Oryctolagus cuniculus: one gene and its partner. The protein of the gene in region 2 purifies or fractionates together with the protein of the main gene of each other region. This does not show direct contact. Links are inferred from orthologs where the notes say so. Each region holds a gene or a part of one and is shown on either strand. Other genes may lie near its edges. The genes, in order: PPP2CB and ANKLE2.

Region 1 (15,922 bases), on a different chromosome or scaffold from region 2:
TTTTTAAGATTAAATATATATATATATATAGAGAGAGAGAGAGAGAGAGAGAGAGAGAAAACATATAAAATATATAGGGACTTTAAACACTTGCATGTTGCATTTTAAAACTGCTATTCAAAGGAGGAAGGAATTTGGCCAAAAATGATGATTTTGCAGCAAAGAAGTAAAAAGCTTAACATGGAAATAAAATCCGTATCCCAAGTATACAGAACAGCTGACTGTGGTAATGACTGACATTGCTGCCCATGGAGACTTTATTGCCAACAACTTTAGCAACATAAATAAACTTAGAGACATAATGATGGTATCCCAGGCCAAGTGCTACTGGCAAAAATCTCATTAAAGAAATTCTCAAGAGATATTTCATGATGCTGAAAGCACAAAGGGAAAACACTGGAAGTTCATTCAAACTTGGAAAAAAGTAGGGCAATTCACAAATTCATACAAAGACGCATACTCCATCTTAAATATTATAAGACAAGCACTGTTCAAGGTACTCTGGGCAAGATTTTTTAAAAATAACAACTTAAAAAAAGATTTATTTATTTGAAAGGCAGAATTAAAGATCTTCTATCCACTGATTCACTCCCCAAATGGCCACAAAGGCCAGGGCTTGGCTGATCCAAAGCTAGGAGTCAGGAGCTTCATCTAGGCCTGAGACTAGGGGCAGGGGTCTAAGGACTTGGGCCACCTTTCACTGCTTCCCCAGGTGCATTAGCAGGGAGCTGGATCACAAGCGGAGCAGTTGGGACTCAACAGGTACCCACATGGGATGCTGGCTCCACAAGCAGCAGCTTTATCTGCTATGTCACAGCACCAGCCCCAGTAACTCATTTTTTAAAATTACCCACAAGGGCCAGCACTGTGGCATAGCGGGCTAAGCATCCGCCTGCAGCACCAGATTCCCCTTTGGGCACGGGTTCCTGTCCCAGCAGCTTTGCTTCTGATCCAGCTCTCCGCTGTGGCCTTGGAAAGCAGAAGATGGCCCAAGTGCTTAGGCCCCTGCACCCACGTGGGAGACCCGGAAGAGGCTCTTGGCTCAGGCTTCGGACTGACTCAGCTCTGGTCACTGTGGCAATTTGGGGAGTGCACCAACAGATGGAAGATCTTTCTCTGTCTGTAACTCTACCTCTTGATAAATGAATAAAATCTTCAAAAAATTACCCATAAAATAACAAAATAAAACATGGATAAATATATTAGAATCAGTGTGTATCATCAAATGGTATTTCTCAAAGTGCAAGCTATCTTCCTGGACCTGTCCAAGATATAGTCAGTCCTGTAGATAGAGTCAGGGAATGCAAATTTCATTTCCTTTCCAAGTGATTCTTACATTTAAATATTAAGGAAAAGATGGATGATTTGGCTACATAAAAATGCTAAAGCTAAAGCTTGTATAGTGAAAATTTGCAAAAACCCTGGTAAAGAATAAATGTTTTAAACTGGTTAAGTTCCAAAGAATGTACAGAATCAAGAAAAGACAAAATACAAAATTAAAATAAAAGAGGCCAACAGGTGGCACTGCAGGTAAAGCCACTGTCTGGGATGCCAGCATCCCATATGGGTGCTCACTCATGTCCGAGCTGCTGAACTTCTGACCAGTTCCCTGCTAATGTGCCTGGGAAAGCAGTGGAAGATGGCTCAAGTGTTTGGGTTCCTGATACCCACAAGGGAGTCCCCGATGAAGCTCCTGGTTTCAGCCTTGCCCAGTGCTGGCCACTTAGGTCATCTGGGGAGTAAACCAGTGGATGGAAGACCTCTCTTTTTTTTTTAAAGATTTATTTATTTGAAAGAGTTACAGAGAGGAGAGGCAGGGAGAGGCAGGGAGAGGCAGAGAGAGGCAGAGAGAGGCAGAGAGAGAGAGAGAGAGAGAGAGAGAGAGAGGGAGGGAGGGAGGGAGGGAGGGAGGGAGGGAGGTATTCCATCCGATAGTTTACTCCCCAATTGGCCACAATGTCTGGAGCTGCGCCGATCCCAAGCCAGGAGCCAGGAGCTTCTTCCAGGTCTCCCATGTGGGTGCAGGGACCCAAGGACTCGGGGCATCTTCCACTGCTTTCCCAGGCCATAGCAGAGAGCTGGATTGGAAGTGAAGCAGCCAGGTCTTGAACCAGGGCCCATATGGGATGCTGGCGCCGGCCCCTCTAACTCTTTCAAAATAAATCTTTTTAAAAAATTAAACCAAAGAAGCCAGCTCAATAAGGGGGAAAAAAAACTCACACACTGTACATAATCTATGATTCTGATAATAAATTCACCCATATTTTCTTTATAGTAATTTGGTATTATTTTTATCTATTAAGTTCTTATTACCTGTAATCTGTTATGAAATAAAAATCTGGTAGTGAAGAATTAACCCAACCCTTTGAATGTCACATCTTAAAAAGAGTGTCTCTGGGAGTCCAACCAGCAGACAGTGTAACAACTGGATTTATGAAGCTGGCTTTACATTATTTTTATATATAGAGAGAGGTAATTGTATTTATAATGCTAGGTCTCAGTTTGGAGAAACTGGAGACTAAAGACATCAGCCCCAGGGCTGGCACTGTGGCATAAAAGGCTAAGCCTCTGCTTGCAGTGCTGGCATCCCATACGGACGCTGGTTCAAGTAGTGTCTCCTCCACTTCTGATCCAGCTTCCTGCTAATGCATGTGGGAAACGTGGGAAAGCAGCAGAAGATGGCCCAAGTCCTTGGACTCCTGCACCCACGTGGGAGACCAGGAAGAAGCTCCTGGCTTCCACCTGGCCCAGTCCTGGCCGTTGTGGCCATCTGGGGAGTGACCCAGCAGATGGAAGATCTCTCTCTCTGCATCTATAAACCTTAAAAAAAAAAAAAAAAAAAAAAAAAAAAATTAACTCCTCCTGGATTCTGCTCAAAGTGTCTCTTCCCTTGTGCAATTAAAAACTCAGGCTATAACTCAAATTGTATTTTAATTCTTTCAATCAAAAAAGTATCTCTGTCAAATACTAAGTTTACAAAGAATGATAAAACGCCCCAGTTTACAAAAGACACAACAAATCAAGCCTGGACTTGAGTTTCTCATTCCCTAGAAAGGAAAATTCCATGTGTAATGTACAGACAGCCTTCTCAGGGCTAATTATTAAAGAAATTCGGGCTTGAAAGTAATGTGCAGGGGGTCTGGTGCTGTGGCATAGAAGGTTTTGAGCTTCCACCTGCAGTGTTGGCATCCCATATGGGCAAGGGTTCAAGTCCCACTGCTCCATTTCCAATCTAGCCTCCTGCTAATGCGCCTGGGAAAGCAGCAGAAGACAACCCAGGTGCTTGGGCCCCTGCACCCACATGGGAGATCTGGAAGAAGCTCCTGGCTCCTGGTTTCTGCCTGGCTTATCCCCAAACCTTGTGGTCATTTGGGGAGTGAACCAGCGGGTAGATCTCTCTCCCCCCTTCTCTCTGTATCTGTGCCTTTCAAATAAATAAATAAATCTAAAAAATTAAAAAAAAGTAATGTGCAGGAAGTATTAGGTAACAATCAACTATTCAGGGATAGCGAGTGTGAAAGAAGTCATCACATGAGTTACCTTTAGATTAGGGTTATATTTCATTACATTTACTGGAAGGAGAACTTACAAGTGAATCAGTTCAAAACAACTGAAAATTCCTATTTAATCTAATGTGAACTCACATTTTTCATACATATTTGATTAAACGTGTGGTTTTAATACCATTTTCTTAGGAAAAAATAAATTTCGAAAACAGAATTCGCAAAAATAAAGTGAGCACTAGTTTTTTTTTTTTTTTTTTTTTTTGGACAGGCAGAGTGGACAGGGAGAGAGAGAGAGACAGAGAGAAAGGTCTTCCTTTGCTGTTGGTTCACCCTCCAATGGCTGCTGCGGCCGGCGCACCGCGCTGATCCGATGGCAGGAGCCAGGTACTTCTGGTCTCCCATGTGGGTGCAGGGCCCAAGCACTTGGGCCATCCTCCACTGCACTCCCTGGCCACAGCAGAGAGCTGGCCTGGAAGAGGGGCAACCGGGACAGAATCCGGCATCCCGACCGGTACTAGAACCCGGTGTGCCGGCGCCGCAAGGCGGAGGATTAGCCTAGTGAGCTGCGGTGCCGGCCTATGAGCACTAGTTTTGTCTTCAATTTCTGGCATTTTGGTTTTCTGTCAAAGAACTTCATTTGCCAAGTTATTCATAGCATTTGTCCTGAAGAAAAGGCCGAAAGAAAATTTTCTGCAGAATCTTTGTATTACAATGAAAAGTATATATGACAAATAAAACTTAAATAAAAAGAAACTTTAAAATATACACATCTTTAGTTTATCGACCTATGTGCATGATTTTACACATCACACATGGTCCAGAAATGAGGTGATTTAACAAAGTCTGTTTCCTAGTCATTAGCAATACTTAATGTCAGTCTAGTCTGGATTAGTATCTTAACCTGTCTGCTAAAGCAGTTGGCTTAGATAGCATGAAATCATTTTGTTCAGTCAGTAGAACTGGGTCTCAACCTTGTATTCCACTGCAATCATGGCATTCTTTGTTATAGAAAGAAAGGAGCTGTTTTCTACATCACTGCATTTCAGACTTTGTCAATGGACCACCAAGGCTGGCATTAATCTTTGTTAGAGGGAAAATTAAAAATGAAAGTACTGATTAGGCTTTTTCAAGATCATTATTGTTCTTAAGCTGAACCTATCACAAAGAATAACCTAAAAGATTTTTCTCGACTAACAAAACCAGTTCATTTTTACCAGTTCATTTTTCATTAAGATGGTTTTGGGCATTCAGGAATTTAAGTATACCATTTCACATTAAGAACGAAGTAACATGCTGAAGGTATTTTCACTTATTTCAAGGCCAGAACCCAGAAACATATCCATCAGTCCATATTCATCTCCTGCACAAGCCTCAATGTTTTCCTCAGCAGCTTTTATAATTAGATCTGCCAGCACACAAACTAGCTCATTTTCCCTGCCCACCTAGAGAATCATAATCAGGGTTCTTCAGTCATAGCATTTACCAGGACAAAGAGCCTAAGACTTTTTACTCTTTTATTTTTAAACTTTTACTCTTCTGGACACAACAGTTAGATACAGTTCTCATCACAGAATGTCCTTAACAGCACCAGATCAGTTGTAAAATTCCTGTGCATACTGCTGTGACAACAATGAATCACACACCCAATTTCTCTGCAGACATTAGGGATGTCAAATTCACGATCAGCTTCCAAAGCTGGCTTACTAATTAGGTGTTACTAGCTAGTCTTCTCAGAAGATATGCCTTACTATTTTATGCAGTGTTTTACTACACAGGAAGTAACCTCAGATGCAGACACACCACACTATCCCACTATTTTTTGTGGTCATTTGCCCACTGGCACTACAATGGATTTTCTTTCTTCCACTACCCCACAATAGGCCTTTACTAGTACTCCTTTGGTCTTGAGGTCAGCTGACTCCTTGTTTTAAGGCAATCTGATTTAGAAAAGGAAATTAATCCTAACTGAAAAACCATCACCATAGAGTGTAACTTCCTATATAGTATTTCCAATAGAATAAAAAAGTAATAAAAAGTTAAACTAAAATCTAGTTGCAAGGAATTAAAGATGACACTCATCTCAGAATTTTGTGCTTCAGATAACGAGGACACTAATTTTCAGGGTCCTATAGCCACTGTACATACATTCCCCTTTGATTCACCACAGAAGTGGTATCTATTTATTTTGCACTTATTTCCTAAAGAAAATGATAAGGCATTTAACACAAGATCCACATTTTTAGCTTTCCCTCATTTAACACTCACTGACTTTTACTTTTTGTCAGGACGTCACATGGGGTACTTATTTAAAAAAAAATTATTTATTTGAAAGGCAGAGTGAGTGAGTGAGAGAGAGAGAGAGAGATGGCTCCCATCCACTAGTTCACTCTCTGAATGGCTGCAACCATCAAGGATGGGCCAAGCCCAAGCCAGAAGCCCTGTGGAACCAGTGCTGATATGGATGCCAGCTTCACAAGAGGCAGCTTAAACCCTCTATGTCTCAATGTCGGCCCCACACACGGGCACCATCTTAATATAATCAGTTCAAGAGATCAGTGAATATGATCCCTGCCTGGCAGGTAAGAAGTCAAAGGTGCCAGATGGGCAGCTAGCAAGTGGAGCACAATTTGAATCCAGACGGGTGGAACGCTACACCTGTTATTAACAACAAGCATGAGGTAGGGATATAAAACCAGAACTAAGGACTACAGGTAGACCCTAGGTTAGTACCTAGTTGGTACTCTATATCCATAGAGATATATCCTCAGATTCAACCAACCAGAAATTATGATATGGGGGAAAAACTGCCTCTGTACTGAACACAGACATTCTATTTCTTATTCTCTAAAAACACAGTATAAAAACCATTTACATAATATTTTCATATCAGGTGTTACAACTTAGAGATGATTAAAAATATACAAGAGGGACCAGCGCCGTGGCTCACTTGGCTAATCCTCCACCTGCGGCACCAGCATCCAATATGGGCGCCGGGTTCTAGTCCCGGTTGTTCCTCTTCCAGTCCAGCTCTCTGCTGTGGCCCGGGAGGGCAGTGGAGGATGGCCCAAGTGCTTGGGCGCCTGCACCCGCGTGGGAGACCAGGAAGAAGCTCCTGGCTCCTGGCTTTGGATCGGCGCAGTGCCGGCCGTAGCAGCCATTTAGGGAGTGAACCAACGGAAGGAAGACCTTTCTCTCTCTAACTCTGTCAAAAAAAAAAAAAATATATATATATATATATATATACACAAGAGGAGGTATGTACATTACATGCAAACACTGCACATTTTATAAAAGGGACTTGAGCATGGGGACTTTTGGTATTCTTATAGGACCTGGACCAATCCAGCACAGATACGGAGGCACCACATATGCCACAAAAGTAAGCCATAGTTGCCAGAACAAGGCGGCTACACTGAGAGCTGCTGAACTACTGGCACTCTGCTCCACTGGCAACTCTATCAAAGTGCACAGAGCACAAACACAAATGCAAGGCGATCTTCACTTGAGCTTCACATTTTGTGGATAACTACAATCAAAGATAGAACAGGTCAACGCGTAAGTAAACTATAGCTGTAAGATCCTAGGTAGTTCAACTTATTTAGGAGGTGAAGTAAAAATAATCTCTCGATAAATACACAGTTTCCTGGCATGATTTAAGATTTGAGTGCAATTATCAATGTACTGGTAAAATAGTCTCCTCTAGGAAATTAAAATTATTAGAAAGTCAAAAAGAAAAACTGATTCAACTACCACTTTAGTCATAACTTCAAGTCTGTATCTGACGTTCACAGGGAGGTTAACCAATTCAGCTAATTACTCAAACTTGATGCTGGAGCTTGAGAGTTTAGTAAAGCGTAAATTGTAAGACCCATGAAATCACAGGTTTTCACACACACACACACACACACACACAAATGTGGAATGAAGGTACAAGCAAGCAGTTTGCTTCAGGAAGAGAAATATACCATTTCTGTGGCACTTCTATCTGCAGAAATAAATTCAAATTCACTTTTATCTGCAGAAATAATAACATGTAGTTATTCAATATGTAAGCTCCCTGGGCACTTGTTAAAAACAGTGGCTACCCCTCCATCCTTTAGTTGCATAATTTAAAAAGTGCCCTACTGGGGCCTGTGCTGTGATGTAACGGGTGACATCTTTACTTGATGACTGAGGCTGGTTGAGTCCTGGCTGCTCCACTTCTGATCCAGCTCCTTGCTAATATGCACCAGCGTGGGAAACCTGGAGGCGGCTCCTGGCTCGGGCAGGGCCCCCACCATTTGGCGAGTGAACCAGCAGATGAGAGATCTCTCTCTTCCTCTCTGTAACTTTGCCTTTCAAATAAATAAATCTGTCTTTTTTTTAAAAGTGCCCTACTAATAAGGCTTAAAAAATTACTTCCTCAGTGCTTTTCTGAGGTATGCGGGCTTTCAAACACATTTAAGAAAATAACCTAAAATAACCTCCTTACTCCAGTACCTCGTGGACTTCCAAGGGGACTTTCCAACATACGAATACATGAAAACTAATTAGTCCACAGCGCAAATGATGAATGAAGAACAACTGGAGGCTCTCAAGTACACCACCTGCACAGGTGAGAATTCCACGGGTTCACAAAACAATGGCTTCCGAATTCAGAAAGCTAAGACCAGACACCTGACAACAATGCACTGCCTGCAGGGTTTACCCCCGTTTGGGGACTGGAAACAACTTTCTGAAAAGTGCCACCCTGCATGACAACTCACAGGACGGGACTTTAAGAAATTTTTTTTTTTTGGTGTAAAAAACCGATTTTTAAATCCACGAGCAGTCTTTAATCCTTATAGGCATTTTCCACGAACTGTCCCCGAGCTCCGGCCTCGCGGCGCGGGTGCCGCCAATCCACGCGCGCCGTGCGGGGCGCCATCTGCGCGCACCTCTATTTTAAAAAAGCCACCGTCTGCCATCACGCCCACCGCTCCGGCGCGCGGGAGCAAGTTGGCCGACCCCGACGACGCGGGGTCGGGTCCCTCTCGGGCCGTCACGCCCGTTCCCGGCGGACACCCGAGTCGGCAGCGCGGGGGCGCGGGCACTGCCCCGAGCCGACTGCGGCGTCGGGGGCCGGCGCGGAGCCGCGGCCAGGCCGGGCAGGGGAGCCGCCGCCGCCGCCCAGCGCCCCGCGTTCCTCCCCGGCCGGCCCTCACCTTCTCGCACAGCGTCCGCACTTGGTTCTCGTTGAGCTGCTTACACTCGTTCAGCTGCTCGACCCACTGGTCCAGCTCCTTGGTGAACGTCTTGTCGTCCATGGCGGCCCGCTCCCCTCCCCCACCCGCCCCCGCCCCCGCCCCCGCCCCGGGCGCCGCTCCCCTCACCCGCCGCCGCCGCCGCCGCCAAGCCCCGAGCGGGACAGGAAGGAGCTGGGGAGGGTGGCCGCGGGCCCCGCACCCGGCTCAAGTCCAGCGGGCGGCTCCCCGAGGGCACCCCGCGTCCGTCCCCGCCCAGGGAGTCTGTGGGGGAAGCGGAAGGGTCGGGGTCGGGGGGGGGGTGGGGGAGCGCGGCGAGGACGCTCTGGACGCAGCTCCCGCCGGGCGATGGCCGCCCGCGACCGCTGCCGCCGCCCGCCGCCCTCTCCCGGCTCCGTAGCCCCTACCCTCTCGCCCTTTCTCTCCCCTCCCTGAGGGTTTCCGTCATCGCCCGGGCATTTCCGCCGGGAAGAGGCGAGCGGGCGGCGCCGCCGGGGCACGGCCGGCGAGGAGCGGAGCAGCGCCCTCGCGTGGCTCGGCGGAGAAACGGCCCTGGGGACCCGGGGTCGGGGGCGCCTGTCCGGTCCTCTTGCTTTCTCTGGTCTTTTCCTCCCAGCCTGGTCTTGGCTCCCCTGATTTCTTCCCCAACATCTTGTCCTAGGGCAACTTCGTGTTCACCTTAAGCTCCCGCAGTGCGTTTCCGCCGCTCTGGACAAGGAATTTTATTCTCCCCAGCGTCAGGCACTCTTCCGAAGCAGGCATTCAATTATTTACAGAATAAATTTCTTCTAGCCGGGTGTCTCGAACGCTCGCTTGCAATATCGGGAAGATGAAATGATTGTTTTGTGCGATCGTCTGGGTCGTTTCCAGCTCCAGCAGTGTTTACCGAGGTGTAATGATTTGGTCAACACGCTCTTGGTGCCGGCTGCCGGCTGCTGGCCAGGCACCTTGTCCGGCACATGCTAACCACCCACACTTCTTCCCTTAGAGATTCGCAGTGCTGGGCGGAACCCCAGAGGGAGGCGGCATCCTGGGTGAGAGGGCAAGTGTTCCTGACCTGGCAGTCGCCACACCTCCTCAAGCATCAGCTTCCCTTCTCAGGCTCTGAGAGTCAGAGGTTGAAAGTGCCTGTCCCGTGGTACACCATGGGAGCCATGTGTCTGTTGTTTTTACTGTCCTGGGGAACACTTTCAAAGAGCTTTAGAATGGGAGCATTTTGAACTGAATTATTAAAAAGCATTTATTTATTTTGAAAAAGTTGGAAAGGTAGAGAGAGATCTTCCACCCACTGGTTCACTCCTAGCTGGCCACAATAGCTGGCACTAGGCCAGGCTGAAGCCAGGAGCCAGGCACTACATCTGGGTCTCCCACATGGGTGGAAGGGGCCCAAGCGCTTGGGCCATCTGCTGCTGCTTTCCCCAGGTTCATGAGCAGGAAGCTGGATTGGAAGTGGAGCAGCCGGGACACCAACTGGCTCCCTGATGGAATGCTAGCATTGTAGGCAACAGCTTTAACCCGCTACACCACAATGCCTGCTCTGAATGTTAAGAGAGAACCCATCTGTTGGTTTTCTCCCCAAATGCCCTCAAACGGCCAGAGCTGGGCCACATAACAAGCCATAAGACAGGAACTCAATCTGGGTCTCCCACATGGGTGTCAGGGGCCCAAGTACTTGAGCCATCACTTGCTGCCTCCTAGTGTGCATTACTAGGAGGTTGGTACTGAACACAGGCACTCTGATATGGGCTGTAGCATACCAAGGTGGGGGGCTTAATTGCTATACCAAATGCCCACTCCCAACCTGAATTTTGAAACTTATCCTCCTCCAATCCCCCCCCCCCCCTCCGCAAAACCCTGAAGCTGCCTGGAGAACAGGAAAGAAGTTTTAAGGAATCTGTGTGTGTGTGTGTACCAGAGGACAGATGTACCCAAGACCACTGTCTGTCTGCAAAGCTGTAAATACTCCCAGCAACACAAATAGGTCACATGGTGGGAAATGAGGCTGGAAGGGTTCTTGCTTTCAAGCAACTTGTAAAAGGTAGCAAACCAATGGAGCGATGAGCAGATGCTGGAAAGGTGGGGTACCTGGACAATCGTAGTAGACATTGCTCGCTCTCCGGAGGCTGAAGTTCACCTAAACCTGAAAAGCAGACTGAGAATATTTCTGGAATTCCTACAGTAGATGGGCTGAGAACAGAAAATGTACCCTGAAGAGAAATGGAAACTATAGATGGTGGTTAGAGAGGAAGATGGGTGAAATAGAAGCAAGTGTGTTTGGAATTAATCTGCGACAATGTTCTTGGAGTTGGGGGGGTGCTTAGGTGAACTTGTGAAAATAATACTTCCAGAATGTTTAATCAAATAGTGCTGAAGAATAAATCAGGATGCTTTTTTGGAGCATTTTTCTTTTTTTAAGATTATTTATTTATTTGAAAGGCAGAGTCCCAGAGAGGCAGAAGCAGAGAGAGAGAGAGAGAGAGAGAGAGAGAGAGAAGAGAGAGAGAGAGAGAGAGAGAGTGATCTTCCATCCATTGGTTTACTCCTTAGATGGCCACAACAGCCAGAGCTGCACATATCTGAAGCCAGGAGTCAGGAACTTCCTCTGGGTCTCCCACGAGGGTGCAGGGGCCCAAGCACTTGGGAAATTTTCGACTGCTTTCCCAGGCCACAGCAGAGAGCTGGATCAGAAGTGGAGCAGCCGGGACTCGAACCAGCACCCACATGGGATGCCGGCACTGCAGGCGGTGGCTTTACTTGCTATGCCACAGCGTTGGCCCCTGGAGCACTTTCTATATACTGTGTATTTAATATGTATGTTCTCATTTAAATACTCCAATAAGCCTGTGAGGCAGGTGTTGCTATCCTGCATTTGATAGATAAGAGAACCAACATGCAAAGGTATGAAAACGTGTTCAAGTCACACAAACAGTACTGGTGGAGTAGACTTGACACCGTGTCTGTCAGTCTGACATCCACGTCCATGCTTAAAAATGGCCTCTTTAGTATGGGCGGGAGCAAGAAAAGCCAAGGGTGGCAGAGTGACAAAGGCTTGATCTTTGCCACATCAGTTTTCACTCTTTCCTTTGTGAAGTCATCATAATTAAAACCAGAAGCTAGAGGAATGGGCACTGTGGCTCAGTGGGCTAAGGCACTGTGTGGAACACCCTGCATTCTATATTTGAGTGCTGGTTCGAGTCTCAGCCACTCCAATTCTGATCCAGCATCCTGGGAGGTATGAGACCTGGGTGTAGTTCCTGGTTCCCGGCTAGGACTAGGGCCAGCCCTTGCTAATTGCAGGCATTTGGGGAATGAGCCAGTGATGGAAGATACTTTCTCTCTCTCTCTCTCTCTCTCTCTCTCTCTCTCTCTATCTCTCTCTCTCTCTCTCTGTCACTCTGCCTTTCACGCAGATGAAAATCAGTCAATAAAAATGGAAACTAGAATTCTTTGTTTTCTTTGTTCTTTGTTTTTACATATGTACGCACATATTAGGGTGTATTTTTAAAATCTTTTTAAAGATGTATTTATTTATTTGAAAGGCAGAATTATAGAGAGGCAGAGGCAGAGAGAGAGAGAGAGGTCTTCCATCTGCTGGTTCACTCCCCAGATAGCTGCAAGGGGCCAAAGCTAGGCTGATCCAAAGCCAGGAGCCAGGAGCTTCTTCCCGGTCTCCCATATGGGTGCAGGGGCCCAAGGACTTGGACCATCTTCCCAGGCCAGAGCAGAGAGCTGTATTGAAAGTGGAGCAGCCAGGATTTGAACCAGCGCCCATATGGGATGCTGGCACTGCAGGCGGCGGCTTTAACCGCTATACCATAGCTCCGGCCCCTGTGTTTGTGTTTACAGAACACAGTCATCAGTTCCCAGTCCTTGCTAATTACTTGGCATATAGGTTTCCTGTTTCCAACTATAAAAAATTACTTGCCATATAAAACCGTATTTAATCTTAGATTTGTAGGCCAGTTTCAAGTTTTTTGTTCTCTAGAAGTGGTTTCATTTTTACTCTGTTTACCTTTCTCCTCTTGGCCAAAGATTTTTAAAATTGTTGACTTCAGCAAATCCTTTGCTTTAAAATTTATTACATGTTAAGATTTTATTCCTACACAGTTCATTAGGCTGCTTTTAATGTATATATAAATGTTGGTATTTTTCTTGGTGTACTACACCATCTAAAAATATGAACTGTGGAGCCAGCATTGTGGCATAGCAGGTAAAGCCACCACTTGTGATGTGTGGTGTCCCATATGGGCACCAGTTTCTGTCTCAGTTGCTCCGCTTCCCATACAGTTCCCTGCTAATAGCCTGGGAAAAACAATGGAAGATGGTCTACATGTTTGGGCCCCTGCTGCCCATGTGGGAGACCTGGTTGAAGTTCCTAGCTTTGGCTTGGCCCAGCCCTGGCCTTTGTAGCTATCTGGGGAGTAAACCAGGAGATGGAAGCTTTCTCTGTTTCTACCTCTCTCCAACTCTGGCTTTCAAGTAAATAAATAAAAATCTTTTTTAAAAAGTAAGAATATGAAATGTGAATCATATCTTTTAATGTACACAGTTATATTCTACAGTAAAATTATACCTTATTTTAAAAAATATATTTATTTGAAAGGCAGAGATACGGAGAGAGAAGAAAGATATTTTCCATCCACTGGTTCACTGAAAGTGTAATAGCAAGATGCCCCATTTATTGTGTGTGTGTGTGTGTTTTTTTTTTGTTGTTTTTTTTTTTTGTTTTTGTTTTTTTTTTTTTGTTTTACAGGCAGAGTGGACAGTGAGAGAGAGAGACAGAGAGAAAGGTCTTCCTTTTTGCCATTGGTTCACCGTCCAATGGCTGCCTTGGCCACCGCGCTGCGGCCGGCGCACTGTGCTGATCCGAAGGCAGGAGCCAGTACTTTTCCTGGTCTCCCATGGGGTGCAGGGCCCAAGGACTTGGGCCATCCTCCACTGCACTCCCGGGCCACAGCAGAGAGCTGGCCTGGAAGAGGGGCAACCGGGACAGAATCCGGCGCCCCGACCGGGACTAGAACCCGGTGTGCCGGCGCTGCAAGGCGGCGGATTAGTCTATTGAGCCACGACGCCGGCTCCATTTATTGTTGTTTGAAAAGATTTACTTATTTGAGAGAGAAAGGCTTTCATCCACTGGTTCACTCCCCAGATGGCTGCAATGGCTGAGGCAGGGCCAGAATAAGCCAGGAGCCTGGAACTCCATCTGGGTCCCCTGCATGGGTGGCAGGGGCCCAAGCACTCGGACTATCTTTCACTGCTTTCCCAGGTGCATCACCAGGAAGCCGGATCAGAAGTGGAGCAACTGGGGCTCGAATTCTAATACAGGATGCTGGGGCCACGGGCAGTAGCTCAACCCACTGAGCCACAGTGCCAGCCCCACGAGGCCCCATTTGTTTGGCTTGTGATGAGGCTCCGTCACATCGTAGGGGACGGCATCGTGGTGGGAGTGAGAGAGAGCCAGGAAGCCAGAGCGCAGGGATGGGTCAGGCCTGCTTTTTTTGTAACAATCCAATCAAGCTCTCACGACAACCACTTTGATCTCTTCCATGGGCAGCACCACTAACAGCCTAAGCTCCTCGGACCAGGCCCAGCTCCTGGAGGTCCCACCACCTCAGCACCAGCACTTGGGACCAAGCCTCCAGCACATGAATCCTTGGGGGACAAACTGAAGCCATCCCTAAGCCATCGCATGCTTTAATAGATTTTACTTAAACAGTTACTGTTCCCTCTCGTGCCCCGCACATTCTTGGTTCCATGACTTAATATTTACATCCACATGAAACTTTTTTCCCGCCTCCATGCACATAGAGACCTCTGATCTTCACAGACAAGCGTCAGAACTATTTTTTCCCATGCAGATCTTCCTCTTCCTCTGACACCAAAGGAACACAGACCTGCCTATTTTAAAATGTCGTACCACATCTCCTATCTGCTGGTTCACTCCAGTGCTGAGCCAGGCCGAAGCTAGGAGCCCACAACCCAGCCCAGGTCTCCCATGTACCAGGCCTCCTAGAGTGTGCACTAGCAGGAAGCTGGAATGGGAAGTGGAGCTGGTTTCACACTCAGGCACTCTGATAGGAGACGCAGCCTTCCTAAGCGGCATCTTAACCACTGTGCCAAATACCTGCCCCAACATCACATTTTTAATTCCAACTAATCCTAATATAGCCGAGATTTCTAGTTGTCTAGCAATGTGCACTTTACTTTTTTTAAATGAACAATTCTGTTTGGCGTGCAAAATGCCCACTTGAACATTGCCTAGGAGTGGGGATATGGCATTAATTCTGGTGAAGGGATGTAGGGAGAAGCAGCTGAGTAGGGCTTTGCAGGAAAGTGTGTTAAAGGGAGTAGACTCAAAAGGCTTATGCCTGGAACTCACTGTGGAGAGGATCACCGGAAAAAAGACTTGAGGCAAAAGGCCACATCTAGGGATGAGCAAGGAAGAAAACCTCCTGAGTGGGGTCCTGATGATACTGTGGAGCCAGACCAGTGGTGCTGGTATGTCTTCCTGCAGTCTTGTTATGAGAAAAAAAAATAGAACTCTTAATTGTTTATGCTACCTCTGCTGATTTTGTTATTATATCTAAACACGTGCCCAAAGGACTCAACTAGATACTATCCACTTTAAGCTTTGACTAAATGATAGCTGAAAAATAAGCATTTTTTGATGAATAGAGAGGTTGAGCATTGTTAATATATATTTAAATTTGTTTATATACATTTATTTAAAATTTATTTTTAATTTTATTTGTAAAACAAAGAGAGAAAAATAGAGACAAAGATCTTTCACTTGCCGGTTCACTCCCCAAATGCCTCGAACAGCTAGAGCTGGGCCAGGCCGAAGCCAGGAGACTGGAACCCAGTTCAGGCCTCTCACACAGGTGGCAGGGACCTAAGTACTTCAGCTGTTACTTGCTGCCACCCAGGGTATGGCATTAGTAGAAAACTGGAGTTGGCAGTGGGGATAGCGCTGTGAGAATCTCAATGAGCAGCTTAACCACTGCACAAAACACCCACCCCTGTTCATGTATTTTTGACATTTAGATATTTTGTGTTTGTGAATGGAGTGTACATTATTTTACACTTTTCGTTCCTCATTGTTGACTTATAAGTGGCTTGATGTATGTTTCAGATATTCTATCCAGTGAGTGACTGAGATTTCACATTTGCTCGTGAGTTTTGGCATACAAGAAG
Region 2 (15,745 bases):
AGTGGCAGGCACTGTGAGGAATGTGGGTTGAATGTAGGCCCAAGGACTTAACAGAAGGCTGAGTGTCTAAAAGTCGCCAGGTTGCTTAGCAGTCTGACACCTGATAAAATTCTAAGAAGCACAGGATAGAACCTCAGCTCTTGCCATCTGTCTTGATGGATAAACATGATGGTTGTTAGGAGACTTTACAGCTGTTCCCAGACAGAAGAGAAAGAATTCTCAGCTGTCGGCAGTACCTAGTCTGAAGCACATTGATTGGGATTACTCTGCTTGCCATTATCTGTGGTTCCATTTGACAGGGACTGTTGGGGATTCTGGAAACAACATGCAACATGAAGTTGTCGCTGGACCTGCCTCTGCTCTTGGCTGCCATACCCTTTGTTCACCTGTGTGTTGGGTGCACCCAAAGCATGGTCCACTTCTGTGCATACTCAAGACATGTGGGCTCAGGCCTGCTGCCAGCACTCTGGCCTGGGACCTTTCTGGCCTGTCCACACGGGGAGCTTTGTCTCCAGCTAAAGTGCAGGCTGTGCAGACCGGCTGTGTGGGGCAGGGCGCTGACTGCCCCTGAGGCAGCACTTCCTCCCAGCCTCCTGGGAGTGAGGGTAGTGCAGGAAGCACCACCAGGGAGGCTCATTCACTCGGCCTCCCACAGGGATTGCAAATCTGCAGTGGATGATCTGGGCTTGCTTTTTTTTTTTTTTTTTTTGACAGGCAGAGTGGACAGAGAGGGACAGAAAGGTCTTCTTTGCCGTTGGTTCACCCCCCCCAATGGCCGCTGTGGCCGGCACACCACAATGATCCGAAGCCAGGAGCCAGGTGCTTCTCCTGGTCTCCCATGGGGTGCAGGGCCCAAGCACTTGGGCCATCCTCCACTGTGCTCCTGGGCCATAGCAGAGAGCTGGCCTGGAAGAGGAGCAACTGGGACAGAATCCGGTGCCCCGACCGGGACTAGAACCCGGTGTGGCGGCGCCACAGGCGGAGGATTAGCCTAGTGAGCCATGGCGCTGGCCCAGTCTGGGCTTTCTTACATGCAATATGGGCCATACGTCCCCTTCACAGTGAACTACTTGATCATGTCTGCATACCCTGAGTGCCAGAGCTCCCCAGAGGGACAGCCCCTGCTCCTACACCTCCCATGAAGCCTCTGAGGACCAAGTGTCACCCCCGTCACCCCCACAGACTCTGGGGCCCGGCGGAGTGCATCTGCCCAAAAAGTGCCTCACCGTCACTGGAGAGCAAACTGCTGTGATGGCCGTGTAGGCAGCCCCTTTCCACCAGACATGTCTGCCTCTGCCTTCCTGCCCAGCCCTGCCCATGGCCAGGGCTCTGGTCCTGCACCCTCTCCCTCCACCCCCGGCTTAGCTGTGGAGCCAGCAGGTGTCCACGTGGGCTCTGTGTCCGCCTGAGGGTCGTGAGCTCCCTGCTGCCGCCGTGGGATCACCTGGAGTGGGCTGTGTCCTGCAAGACCACCCCGCACCCAGTTTGTAACATCTTACATGGCTGGATTTCCACAGGTGGAGTCTTAATGGGCAGAGGTCCTAAATTAGAAGCCCAATTGATGAAAATAAAAGATGAAAAAAATCACTAATGATTCTCCACTGAGTCTGTTTCCTGTGACAAGTACTTTGTTCCACTACCTAAGTCTGATGTGGAGACTAAATGCAAACACATCTCAGTTTGCCTCGAGAGCTGTGACAGATTGCCGGGGAGCCAGCACTTTTTGATTCCATTCACAGCAGTTTATTCAACAGTCTGAGCTGTGTTCCTCCAGTCCTTGCTTCCTGCAGTCGTCCATGGAGGCATTCTCACAGCCAGGTCTAGAAGCCTGTAGGTTTTTTGTTTTGTTTTTGGCAAGAGCTTCCTCCCAGCCCCACCCACCCACCGCCGGCCATGCAAGGTCTCCCCCCCCACCCCGCGGCCATGCACAGTCTCCCTGGCCCCTCCCCGGCCATGCACGGTCTCCCTGCCCCCCACCCCCACCCCGGCCATGCACGGTCTCCCTGCCCCCCACCCCCACCCCGGCCATGCACGGTCTCCCTGCCTCCTCTGGCACCTCCAGTGCTGCAGCAGCAGCGTGGTCACACCACAGACAGCTCCTGTCATTCCTCTGCCCACACATTGCTGTGACCAGCAGGAAACTGGCCTCACAATCCATTTGCCACCTTCCACTTGCTTTGAATCTCGATTCCCAACCTGCTCTCCCCCTCTTCTGCGGAGGGAGATCCATAGGAAATATCAGTGCTTCCCACTCAATCACCGGGACTCGTGTGGGCCCTGGATCAGAAACTGAAGACATCAGGACTGGGCACGCACTCCCATGCAGCTGGCACAACCCAGGAATGCAGCCATCACTGCTGCCTCTTGAGTGTGCAAGAGCAGGAAAGCTAAACACTAAACCCAGACGCCCTGATGCGTGATGCAGGCCTCTTACCCAGGCACTCCCTAACCGCTAGGCTACACGCCTGCCCCACCCCGTCATTTCCCATTTTTAATCTTCAGTTGTTCCAATATGATTGGCATTGGATGGGGGTGAGGACCCCGCGCTGCCAGGAACCCCGTGTGAAGACACAAATCAGGGCCAGCGCCATGGCTCACTTGGCTAATTCTCTGCCTGCAGCGCCAGCATCCCACATGGGTGCCAGGTTCTAGTCCCGGTTGCCCCTCTTCCAGGCCAGCTCTCTGCTGTGGCCCGGGAGTGCAGTGGAGGATGGCCCAAGTGCTTGGGCCCTGCACCCCATGGGAGACCAGGAGAAGCACCTGGCTCCTGCCTTCGGATCAGCGCAGCGCCGGCCGTAGTGGCCATTGGGGAAGTGGACCAACGCAGGGAAGACCTTTCTTTCTGTCTCTCTGTCTATAACTCTACCTGTCAAAAACAAACAAACAAACACACAAATCAGGCCAGTGAAGCTGCCATGTCAGAGATGCCAGCGCTCAGGAGCTGAAACAAGCTTGTCTCTCCTAGAACATGAAGACGGGACTGACCAGGGCAGCTTCCCAGTGCTGAGGACGTACACTCTACCCATCTCTGCTTAAACCGCAGTTCACGTGTGGCCCCAGGTCCCGCCTTCTGTCTGCATTCCCAAAGTGGGAAGAGTCAAGGACAGGTGTCAGCCAAGGGTGCAGCTCCGACTGCTGTCTGCAAGTCTCTGTTAGTAACACAGAGCATGGGCACTGGGTAGCATCAGTCTCCACACAAGACACCATCTTTAGAATCAACTCTTTCGGGGCCAGCGCTGTGGCATAGTGGGTAAAGCTGCCGCCTGTGGTGCCAGCATCCCATATGGCTGCTGGTTCATATCCCAGTGCTCCACTTCCAATCCAGCTCTCTGCTATGGCCTGGGAAAGCAGTAGACGATGGCCCTACTGCTTGGGCCCCTGCACCTGCATGGGAGACCTGGAGGAGGCTCCTGGCTCCGTATCGGCACAGCTCTGGCCATCACGGCCAACTGGGGAGTGGACCAGTAGATGGAAGACCCAACCCCCCCGCCTGTCTGCCTCTCCTTCTCGCCGTGTGTAACTCTTTCAAATAAATAAATAAATTTTTTTTCAAATAAATATTTTTTAAAAATCAATTCTTTCATAACTACTTGGATTTGTGACTCAGAGGAACCAGTGGATGGAAAAATCTCTCTCCTCTGTCATTTTGCCTCTCAAATTAACAAAATTAACTTTTTTTGTTCTAAGATTTATTTATGGCCGGCGCCGTGGCTCACTAGGCTAATCCTCCGCCTTGTGGCGCCGGCACACCGGGTTCTAGTCCCGGTCGGGGCGCCGGATTCTGTCCCGGTTGCCCCTCTTCCAGGCCAGCTCTCTGCTGTGGCCCGGGAGTGCAGTGGAGGATGGCCCAGGTGCTTGGGCCCTGCACCCCATGGGAGACCAGGAGAAGCACCTGGCTCCTGCCATCGGATCAGCGCGGTGCGCTGACCGCGGCGGCCATTGGAGGGTGAACCAACAGCAAAGGAAGACCTTTCTCTCAGTCTCTTTCTCTCACTGTCCATTCTGCCTGTCAAAAAAAAAAAAAAAAAAAAAGATTTATTTATTTATTTGAAAGAGTAACAGAGGGCAGAGGCAGAGAGATCTTCCATCTGCTGGTTCTCTCTCTAATGGCTGCAATCAACAGGGATGGGCCAGGCGAAAGCCAGGAACAAGGAGCTTCATCTGGGTGTCCCATGTGGGCGCAGGGGACCAAACACTTGGGCCATCTTCTGCTGCTTTCCCAGGCCATTAGCAGGGAGCTGGATCGGAAGTGGAGCAGCCGGGACTTGAACTGGTACCTATATGGTATGCCAGCACTACAGGCAGCAGCTTTACCCACTATGCCACAGCGCCAGCCCCAAATTGATTAATTTTTAAATAGTTTGTAAAAAAAAATAAAACAAAAAACATGGATTGTGAAAAAATTATGCATGGGCTGCAAAATTTTTTGCGTCCAAATAAATTACCCTAAAATCCCGTTTTCCACAAACTTTCTGAAGCAGCCGTGTATGTGTAGAACTTAAACGTATGTTTATAAAGGCTGCAGTAATGGGTACAGTTCACTAAGCCCTTGGCGTGTGGTGACTCCAGAGAAGGGTATGCCATGCATCGCCTCACTTCCAAGATAGGTTCTATTAGTGTTGCCATGATACCACTGAGACATTCATCCCACAGGTGCACAGACGGTGCCAGCACGGTGTCCCAAGCCCACGCTGGCACAAACCAGTCAAAAGTACATTTACTACAACCAACATCCCAAACACCACGGCTCCGCGACCCGGGCACTGCTCCCTCCTGCCAGCAGGCTGCTGGGGATGCTGGGGCGAGCCCTGCACTGTCCCTCGAAATTCCCGCCTCAAGGCGCACTCCGCCCTAGGCTGGAACACTGAAGTCAAACCAGTGTCCCGCGGCAAGCGGTCTACATTAGTACACTCGACAGGTGGTAAGGCCTCTACTTCTTAAAATGCAGGCATAATGTACACTACAAAGATACAGATTTAAGGACAGAGCTCGACGAGTTCAGACGAACGTGGACTCCAAGACAGGACGCCGCATGCCTAGCCCAGGCGGCCCTGTCGCCATGAGCTCTGCCCATCCTGGACCCACGCACACAGAACCACTGAATGTGCATGCTCTTGTGTTTGGCGTCTTTCGCTTGGTATGTTATGTGTGGTTTCTGAAAAGATTTATTCGAAAGGCAGAGTGACAGCGTGGGCTCCCATCTGTGGGTTTACTGGTTGTAGGTGGGCGAGCCAGGAGCTCCACCTGGGCCTCCCACAGCGGGTGGCAGGGGCTCAAGAACTTGAACCTCCATCTACTTCTTCCCAGCTGCATTAGCAGAAATCTGCATCAGAAGCAGAGCATGAGAGATGCAGGCATCCCAGGAGGCAGCTTCACACGCTGAGCCACGACACTCACTCCCGCGTGGGCACCATCACACAACTGCACGACCTGTTCATCCATCCTCCTGCTGTGAACCTGCGAGCAAATCTACAGTTCCATCTCCAAGCCTCCTGGGATGCAGAGCTGAGCCACAGGGCAACGGCCTCAGCCTGTCCAGGGTCCTGGGACAAGGCACCATAAACACAGCAAATGGACTGGGGCAAGCGCTGACACAGTGGGCCAGGCTGTTGCTGCAGATGCCTGCATTCCGCACGAGTGTGCCTGGTTCCAGTACTGGCTACTCCATACTTCCAATCTACAGCTTCTGGCTGACGTGCCTGGGAAGGCAGATGACGGCCCAGGCACTTGGGTTCCTGCCACTGCCCTGGGGGACGGAGACAGTTCCAGGCTCCTGGTGGGAGCCTGGCCCAGCCCTGGCTGCTGCAGCCATCTGGGGAGCAAACCAGCAGACAGAAGATGGCTCTCTCTCTGCCTTTTTCTAAATACACAGAACAACTTCTTACAGCTGTTCTGGGTAAGTCCAGCAGGCCTGGTGTCGCTGAGGGCCTGTTTTCTGGTCCAGAGATGGCACCTTGCTGTGTGCTGGGGTCTCTCTCGGGCCTCTTTTATGTGGGCACTAAACCTATTCATTAGGACTCTGCCCCATGACCTCATCACCTCGCACGGGTCCCATATCCCATGATCGTCCCCTTGGAGTTAGGATGCCAATGTGTGGATTTGGGGGAGGTTGTGGTGGGAGGAGACACAAACATTCAGTCCAAACCAAGGAGCTGCCTTACTGTTTCCCAAAGTGGCCAGCGCTTCTTCCGGTCCCCCCAGCAACGTGTGAGAACCCCGAAGCTGCTGCACACTCACAGAATCTGATACCGTCAGTCCCAGTTCCCGCCGTTCTGCTGGGTGGGAAGCAGGACTTCCTTGTGATTTTTTAAGACTTTATTTGTTTGAGAGGCAGAGTTAGAGGGAGCGACAGGGGTCTTCCATCCGCTGTTCATTCCCCAGACTGCCGGCGCCGAGCCGAGCCGAAGCCAGGAGTTTCCTCCGGGACATCAGCCGCAGGGGAAGGCCGAGCCCACCGCGCCACAGAGCCGGCCCCTCTGTGATTTTAACCCGCACTTCTCCGCTCCTCGGATGGACCGACCCTTCCTCCAGGTGCCCCGTGGCCTCCCAGTGCCACTCAATGGCTTTTTGTTAAACCAAGCACAAGTCTGTCTTTGGGGTCTTTTACTTAAGTAGTCTCCCAGCGTCGGCAAGCACACGGAACTGCGCACCCGGGACCGAGAACGGCGCACGCCAAACCACAGGCGAGGCCCGCAGAGTTGACGGGAAGCACCGCGTCCCCTGAGCGCAGACAGCCGCAAGCCACGAACGAACGGGCCACAGCCGCCGGCGGAGCGGCCTCGTCCGCGAGGCGGGAGCAGCTGCGGGGCACGGGGCCTGCGTGCGGCCCTCCGGGCAGCTTGCAGGGCAGACGGCACCTCCGTGCGGCCCGCGCTCGACCTCGGCCCCTGCCCCGCACCGCCCAGCCCCGCAGGCCTCCAGCGAGCCCTCCGGCCCGGCCTGTGGCCCCCGGGTCTCTGGAAATCGCCCGGCTCTCAGGACCTGGGCAGGCTCCCCGCACCGCCCGGCCGCCACGCTGCCCGCCACTTACCGGCCGCGGAGTTCCACGTCCGCGAGCCTGCGCCGCGCCCGAATCAGGACCCCTGCGGCCGGGCTGCCCGCACCAGTCCCTGACAGCGCGCTGGCCCGCCCCGCGTCGCCTGGGGTGGGGGCCGCAGCCGCGCCCCTCCGCTGGGCCCCTGGGGGAGGGGGCGGACGCCCGGCCCCGCAAGCGCCGGCCCCGCCTCGCGCCAGCCGCTCCCGCGCGCGGCGCCGCCAGGCAGTGGCGCGGACAGCCCGGCGCGCGCGGGCGACGCAGGACCCGGGCTCCTCGGCGGCGGCGGCGGCGGCGGCGGCTACGGCGATGCTGTGGCCGCGGCTGGCGGCGACCGAGTGGGCGGCGCTGGCCTGGGAGCTGCTGGGCGCCTCGGTGCTGCTCCTCGCGGTGCGCTGGCTGGTGCGGCGGCTGGAGAAGCGGCCACGGGGCCTGGACCGCAGCGGGACCCCGGCCCCGCAGCCCTGTGCGGCTGCCGCGCCGGACCCAGGTGAGTCGGGCCGGCCGGGTGGGCCCCGCGCCCCTCGCCCGCCTCCCGGCGTCTGGGTGCCGTGCTGGGAGCTCTTGGACCCGGGCTCCGCGCCCCTCGCCGCCGCCTCCTCCGTACCTACCCCTGGCGCGGGAAGAGCGGTTGGACCCGCCGCGCCGGAAGCCGGGCGGGCTCGCCTTGGAGAGGCCCCTGCGGCCACTGCGCGGGAGCCGGTGCGGAGAGCCGGGAGCGGCGTCCGCGCAGCCCGCAGGGCGCGGCGCGTGTAGCTGGGGTGTCGGCGCCGACCCGGGAGTGCTGCGTGGACGCGGGCGGCGGGAGTGAGGCGCTCTGAGCCAGGTCGCTGGTGGCCGGGAGCCGCGAGAGGCGCCAGGGCCTGGGCCGCAGGCTCGGTGCCCGCGCTCGCCGTGCACGTGGGGCTGTCGGGAGGCGGCTGCGTGACGCGTCCCCGGCTCTGCGAGGGCGCCTCAGCGCGCGGAAGGCGCGGGGAGCTCCGCGCGGGGGCAGGTGTCTAGGTGCGGGTGTGCGTTCAAAACGCGACTGCACCGAGAAACCCCTCCCCGTGCTCCTCCAGGGGGACAGGCGACAGCCCCTTCCGTGTTCGCGGGGGACGGGTAGCGAAACTCGCAGCCTAGGGCTTCGGGTTGTCCCGGAGGCTGAGGGAACAGCCCCCGCGGCTGGTGGGCGTCTTGCTGGGGTCGCGTGTGGCAGGCGCCAGGCCGGTGCAGCTTTCCTCCTGCTGAGTTTTGCCTTTTCTTGTCCCCTTGGGAAAGCTTTTGGCAGCGCCTTTACACTTTTATTGATTGGAAAGGCAGAGAAGCGAGAAGAGAGACATCCCGCTGATTCGTTCCCTACACGCCTGTCATAGCTAGGGCTGCGCCAGGTCAAAGCCAGGCCTCCCACACGGTGCAGGGCCCTACCTGCTGCTGCCAGCGTGCACAGTAGCAGGAAACTGGATTGGAAGCAGAGCTGGGACTTGAACCCAGGACTCCAGTATGGGATGCTGGCACCCCAAGCAGCAGCTGAACCCCTGCACTTCAATACCTGCCCCAGGCAGCACCCTGAAGAAACAGCACATTTGCTTGTCGTCTGCATCGTCAACAGCAGACGCAGACACGCAGACGCAGCGTGCAACGCCGGAGGCTGGCACTGAAGCCTGTTTGTTGGCTGGTAGGGAAGGCCCGAGACACAGGAGGCTGTGGGGGTTTTCCAATGAGAATTTCACTTTGACTTTTCATTTTGGAACCATAGGCTTATAACAGAGTGGAAGACTAGTGCAGAGAAAATAAACATATCTGAGAAGGTCTCTGGTGTCCTTCTTCTCTAAGGAAATACAGAATACAGCCACGATGAACTAGCACGCACACCTGTAGTAAAGGCTAAACTTTATTTATTTATTTTTGACAGGTAGAGTGGACAGTGAGAGAGAGAGACAGAGAGAAAGGTCTTCCTTTGCCGTTCGTTCACCCTCCAGTGGCTGCCGCGGCTGGCGCGCTGTGGCCGGCGCCCCTCGCTGATCCGAAGGCAGGAGCCAGGTACTTCTCCTGGTCTCCCATGGGGTGCAGGGCCCAAGCACTTGGGCCATCCTCCACTGCACTCCCTGGCCACAGCAGAGAGCTGGACTGGAAGAGGGGCAACCAGGGCAGAATCCAGTGCTCCTACCCGGACTAGAACCTGGTGTGCCGGCGCCGCAGGCAGAGGATTAAGGGCTAAACTTTAAATGTAGCGTATTTCCAGTCGGCAGAGTGCGTGAGTGGTGCAGCCCCTCTAGAAATCAGTCTGGCCATTTCTCAGAGAAGTTAAACCTGCCCTGCACTCCTGAGCTTTGTTGTAGAGAAATGAACATTTTTTTCACACGAAATCTCATATGTGCGTGTCACTCTAGGGGTGAATGGCTAAATAGACCCTGTTCCGACCACAAGTGCTACTCCTCAGGGTGGTTGGGGCTCAAGGGCCCAGTGCAGAGTGAGAAGGAGCAATACTGTAGGTGTGTACTGGATTCCGTTTGTATAGCATTCTTACAGTGAAAAATTATAGACAACAAATTTGTGGTTGCCAGGGGCTGGGGCCCATGGAGGAGATTGGGTGTCACTGTGAAGGGGCAGTAGGAGAGAGGTCTTTGTGGTGATGGACATTTCTGTGGTGATGGTCACACACACTGTCACAGAACTGGGCACAGATACACACACACTCACCCCTGTTAGAATGGCTCACATACAGAAATCAACTAACAACAGATGCTGGTGAGGATGTTGGGGAAAAGGCACACTAACCCACTGTTGGTGGGAATGCAAACTGGTCAAGCTGCAATGGAAGACGGTTTGGAGATTCCTCAGAAACCTGAATATAACCCCACCACACGACCCAGCCATCCCACTCTCCCGGAATTTACCCAAGGGAAATTAAATTGGCAAATAAAAGAACTGTCAGCACCTCAGTGTTTATTGCACTCAATTCACAATAGCTAAGACATGGAATCAGCCTAAATGCCCATCAACATAAGACTGGATAAAGTACACCATGGAATACTACACAGCACTAAAAAAAATGAAATCCAGTCATTTGCAACAAAATGGAGGAATCTGGAAAACGTCATGCTGAGTGAAATCAGCCAGTCCCAAAGGGACAAATATGTTCTCCCTGATCTGTGACAACTAACTGAGCACCTAAAAGGAAACCTGTAGAAGTGAAACTGACAGTATGAGAAGCAATTTGCCCGCAGCCCAGGAGGTTCAAGGTGTTGTGTCAGTGTCAGCTTCTTAAAGATTTTTGTTTTTTAAAATTTATTTACTTGATAGGCGTAGAGACAGGCAAAACAAAGAACTTCCAGTTCATTCCCCAAATGCCTGCAATGGCTGGACCAGACCAAAGCCAGGAGCTAGGAGCCAGGAATTCACTCCAGTATTCCTCCTGTGTGGTAGGGACCCAGGTGCATGAGCCGTCACCAGCTGTCTCTCAGAGGCATATCAACAGGAAGCTGGGTCAGAAGTGGAGACAGGACTGAGAGCCTCTGATACGGGAAGTGGGTGTCCCAAGTGGCGTCTTAACCTCGGAGCCGCAGGTTCATCCTGACACCTTTTCTTGACTCCCCAGTGAGGAGCTCGCTTTTGCTTCGCCCTCAGTGTACACAAGGGAGAGCTCAGAACTCCCGAGCCAGACTGCTGTGTGGAATGCATTGCTGGACTGTGGCAGGTCTGGTTAGCTTTGGGGTACCTGCTCACCTGCTGTTTCCAGAACTACTTAGAGGAATATCCACATACACTACCGTGTTACTCATATATACCAAGGTGCATGTTTTGGTTTGTATTGAGTTTATTTGATTTTTTTTTTTTTAAGATTTATTTATCTGAAAGGCAGAGTTACACAGAGGAGAGGCAGAGAGAGAGAGAGGTCCTCCATCCTCTGGTTCACTCCCTAAATGGCCACAACAGCTGGAGATGGGCTGATCCAAAGCCAGGAGCCAGGAGCTTCTTTTTGGTCTCCCACATGGGTGCAGGGGCCCAAGGACTTGGGCCATCTTCTGCTGCTTTCCCAGGCCATAGCAGAGAGCTGGATCAGAAGTGGAGCAGCTGGGACTCAAACTGGCTTCCATATGGGATGCTGGCACTGCAGGCACAGTGCTGGCCCTTTGATTTTTGAGTATATGAATTACCAACATGTTTCTGAAAGTCAGGACCCTAAAACACTTGCAGTCAAAAGTGCTGTTCCGGGGCCAGCACTGCGGCGCTCTAGGTTAATTCTCCGTCTGCGGCGCTGGTATCCCATGTGGGCAACGGATTCTGTCCCGGTTGCTCCTCTTCCAGTCCAGCTCTCTGCTGTGGCCTGGGAAGGCAGTGGAGGGTGGCCCAAGTGCTTGGGCTCCTGCACCCGCATGGGAGACCAGGAAGAAGCACCTGGCTCCTGGCTTCGGATCGGCACAGCGCCGGCCATTGAGGCCATTTGGGGAGTGGACCAACGGAGGGAAGACCTTTCTGTCTCTCTCTCTCTCTCACTGTCTAACTACCTGTCAAATAAATAAATGAAAATCTTAAAAATAAAAAAAGGTTGGCCGGCGCCGTGGCTCAATAGGCTAATCCTCCACCTTGCGGCGCCGGCACACCGGGTTCTAGTCCCGGTTGGGGCGCCGGATTCTGTCCCGGTTGCCCCTCTTCCAGGCCAGCTCTCTGCTATGGCCAGGGAGTGCAGTGGAGGATGGCCCAGGTGCTTGGGCCCTGCACCCCATGGGAGACCAGGAAAAAAGCACTTGTCTCCTGGCTCCTGCCAGGATCAGCGCGGTGCGCCGGCTGCAGCGGCGGCCATTGGAGGGTGAACCAACGGCAAAAGGAAGACCTTTCTCTCTGTCTCTCTCTCTCACTGTCCACTCTGCCTGTCAAAAAAAAAAAAAAAAAAAAAAAAAAAAAAAAATTAAAAAAAAATAAAAAAAGGTGCTGTTCCCCACACCTTTCTACTCCCAGTGTTCCCCAGACTGTTCTGCTTTGTCCTTGGCTTCCTTGTGTGCATGAAAGCAGGCTCTTCTGTTAATGATTACAAATACTGGAAACAGTGTACTTTTTAAAAGTTTCAACTTGACTTTCTAGCATATTAAATACTTATTCTCAGAGATTACTAAACCTGTGTTCCTGCGGTAGCTTAATAGCTGTAGTAGAGATTTACAAATAACTTGTCATGTCAGACACAGTGATACAGATTTGAATGTGTTTATTTTGACTGATTTCTCAAAGTAGAGTTATTATAGTGTGCACTTTATAGATGAGGAAAGAGAGTCTTAGCATTTACACGGTTTGATTCTGTTGTAACAGGGATTCCATGTATTTGTTCTGTTAGGGATCCCTCTCAAACCCAAGTTAAAGGGCTGGCCTTGGTATAAGGATGCCTGCTGCCCAGGAATGCTTGCTGGCGGGTCTGCTCCTGCTCACCTTGCCTGCAGCTGTGGGCGCCCTCTGCCTGCTCTGCCCCAGAGTCCTTAGAGCCTTCGTACCACTTCCCTACACCTAGCCAGAATTGGGCTTAGTGCTCACCCGGTCAGAATCTGGGGTCGTTAGGCCTCCCCTTCCAGTCCTTGGCAGCTTTATAGGGGACTGTGTAATACGTTCATTGTTTCAAAGATCAGTATCCCAGTTCAGATAATGAAGAGTCATTTTTAAAATCTTTGTGGAGTTGGCATTGTGTTACTCTGAAGTAACATATTTGATCTTTTCATTTCCTCCTATACAACTCCTAAATCCTTGAATCTTCAAGGCCGTGTCTTTTTCTGTATGCTAATGAGCTGACTGATGGCCTGCAGCCCCTGGGTAGCATCAGGATGGGTTCTGGGCTGGTCACAGTAAGGCCAGAGGGCTGGGACTTTCAGTGCCACCTCCCTGTAACCAGGGAGGGGAGAGGAGGGACTGCCAGTTGAGTCCATCACCAATGCCCATAGCTGGCTGGCCATGCCTGTACAATGAGAGTTTCTGATCTGCTCTGAGGAAGTTCCTGGAGATGGCCCTGGAGAGCCCAGGGAAGCTCCGTGCCCTGCCCTGTGTGCCTCCACCACTGGACTCTTCATCTGTATCTTTCATGATATCCTTTATAATAATAAATGGGTAAGCTGATAAGCTGCTCAGAAAAATTAATCAAATGCAAATGATATGCACAGCCTTGTATGTTGGCATTTTCTGGGGGAGCGTCTTGTTGGACTGAGCCTCCAGGGAGACAGTGCCGGCTGCAGAACTGACTGCTTGCTTTGTGTGTGGAAAAGACCCATATCGGTGATCACAGCAGCCTTCCTGTGACTGGTGCTGACAGAGCAGGAAAAATGCTTCAATATTCTTTCCTCCTGTATCCATGAGGAATTATAAAACATGCTTTTAAATTAAAAAAAAAAATACACAGAACTAGATGGGTGCCCCTCCCATGCACCTGGCACCAAGAAAATTTTTTTTTGGTTTTAATTTTTTTTAAGATGGCTTTATTTATTTGAAAGAGTTAGAGATAGAGGTCTTCCATCCTATGGTTCACTCCCAAATGACTGCAATGGCCAGGGCTGGTCCAGGCCGATCAAGGAGCCTGGAACTCCATCCAGGTGTCCGTGGGTTGCAGAGGCCCAAGCACTCGCACCATCTTCCACTGCCTTCCCCAGTACATTAACAGGGAGCTGGGTGCCATGTGGAGCAGCTGGGACTCAAAACCGTGCTCATATGGGATACCGGCCTCACAGACCCTGACTTAACCTACTCTGCAGTAATACCAGCCCCATAGCAGGTGATAATGTTGTAGATGCCCCGTGCCCTCTGTCTTGTGTCCTGCTGAAATTCAAAGCTAGCCCTGCATGTCCCGTTCCGTCATCATTATCGGTGAACACTTCTTAAACTCCTCTACTGTGGGGCCAGCGCTGTAGCATAGCAGTTAAAACTGCCAGCATCCCACATGGAATCCCAGCTGCCCCACTTCCGATCCAGCTCTCTGCTATGGCCTGGGAAAGCAGTGGAAGATGGCCCAAGTGCTTGGGCCCCTGCACACACATGGGAGACCTGGAAGAAGATCCTGGCTTCAGCCTGATCCATTCCCAGCTGTTGTGTCCTGTTGTGGAGTGAACCAACAGATGGAAGATCTCCCTCCCTCTCTCTAACTCTGACTTTCAAATAAATAAATCTTTAAAAAGAAAATAAATAGCCAGTGCTGGCATCCCGTATGGATGCTGGTTTAAGTGCCAGCTGCTCCACTTCCAATCCAGCTCCCTGCTAATGGCCTGGGTGCTTGGGCCCCTGCTACCCACATGGGATACATGGATGAAACTCCTGGCTTCAGCCCAGCCCAGCCATTGCAGCCATCTGAGGAGTGAACCAGCAGATAGAAGATCCCTCCCCTCCCCCTCTCTCCCTGTCTCCCTGTCTCTCTCCCTCTCTCTCTGTAATTCTGACTCTCAAATAAATAAATAAGCCTAAACAACAACAAACAAAAAAACAGCAACAACCCTCATTCCATGGGCTCTGTGTATGTGCTAGGTGCTTGTGAGTGGCTCTGCTGTTGAGTCTGGAAAAGAATTTCCCTCCTGGCCGGCGCCGCGGCTCACTAGGCTAATCCTCCACCTTGCGGCGCTGGCACACCGGGTTCTAGTCCCAGTTGGGGCACTGGATTCTGTCCCGGTTGCCCCTCTTCCAGGCCAGCTCTCTGCTGTGGCCAGGGAGTGCAGTGGAGGATGGCCCAAGTGCTTGGGCCCTGCACCTGCATGGGAGACCAGGATAAGCACCTGGCTCCTGCCTTCGGATCAGCGTGGTGCGCCGGCCGCAGCGCGGCGGCCATTGGAGGGTGAACCAACAGCAAAGGAAGACCTTTCTCTCTGTCTCTCTCTCTCACTGTCCACTCTGCCTGTTAAAAAAAAAAAAAAAAAAAGAATTTCCCTCCTTTTGTTCTTCTGACTCCTTCTTTCCCAGCATCTAGACTAGGAAAAGTGGGTGTTACCACAGGCCTGTGTTACAGTCCTTCCAGCCTCATCTCGGGTGTCTGATTGTCCTGTCGTTAGGGCCTCCCTGTTGCTGCAGCAGTAGTCTGTGCCCGCCTGTTCTACCTTCTCCCTAGTCCAGCTGGCCACACAAGCCTGTAGAGCAGGAGTAGGGGATGGCCGTAGAAGTCCGTGGAATCATTGGCCTAGCCAAGGCAACCACAGGTAGGGCTTGAAATGCAGTGAATTTATGGCAGGCTAGTTTTTAAGTTGAAAACTGTGTGTGGCCTTGAATGATGCCACACTGTAAATATACTCAAATGGCCCCTGCTGCATAGTGAATGGCATACGCTTAACCTGTACACTGATTAAAGGTGCAGCTGTGGTTCAGATCCACTTGATGTCTCTGTCACTTGGACAGACCACTTGGCCTGTCTGTGCTTCAGGATGTTCATCTGTAAGGTGGGGGCCGCGGCGCCCTGCCCACAGGGCTGTTGAGACCGTAGCGCTTGGAGCTGCTCAGCATCATAGAGCAGAATGTGCCAGGGTGTGTGCAGCCTCTCTGTGTAAATCTCTGCCTAGTTGCCCGTCTCTTTGTGGGGAAGAGTGCAAGTGTGTCTGGTTTCTAGAGTTAAGACTTCACAGATGCTGTCAGATGCCTCCCGTGGGACTTGTCCCAGATGACACGGCAGTCAGCCTCGGGTAAGTGTACCTGTAAAGCTGTGTGCTGAGAACGTAGTGTGGTGGTGACACGGACGGAAAAGGCTGTCAGGTTTTCCAGAGCAACCGGAAGCTGCTTTTCATA

The links.
Region 1: the proteins of ANKLE2 (region 2) and PPP2CB purify together in Homo sapiens (affinity purification with mass spectrometry; 4 studies listed by BioGRID and IntAct, counting the BioPlex papers as one, with this or other methods). This does not show direct contact. The link is inferred for Oryctolagus cuniculus from reciprocal best matches to the Homo sapiens genes ANKLE2 and PPP2CB.

The regions. Positions count from the first base shown.
Region 1 is NC_091433.1:80,846,016-80,861,937, forward strand, and holds the start of PPP2CB (serine/threonine-protein phosphatase 2A catalytic subunit beta isoform), read right to left. Parts: upstream 8,795-15,922; 5' UTR 8,792-8,794; coding exon 8,690-8,791; intron 8,032-8,689; exon of another isoform or gene 8,017-8,031; coding exon of another isoform or gene 7,978-8,016; intron 1-7,977.
Region 2 is NC_091452.1:807,453-823,197, forward strand, and holds the start of ANKLE2 (ankyrin repeat and LEM domain-containing protein 2), read left to right. Parts: upstream 1-7,297; 5' UTR 7,298-7,342; coding exon 7,343-7,523; intron 7,524-15,525; exon of another isoform or gene 15,526-15,620; coding exon of another isoform or gene 15,621-15,642; intron 15,643-15,745. UniProt on the Homo sapiens protein: Involved in mitotic nuclear envelope reassembly by promoting dephosphorylation of BAF/BANF1 during mitotic exit.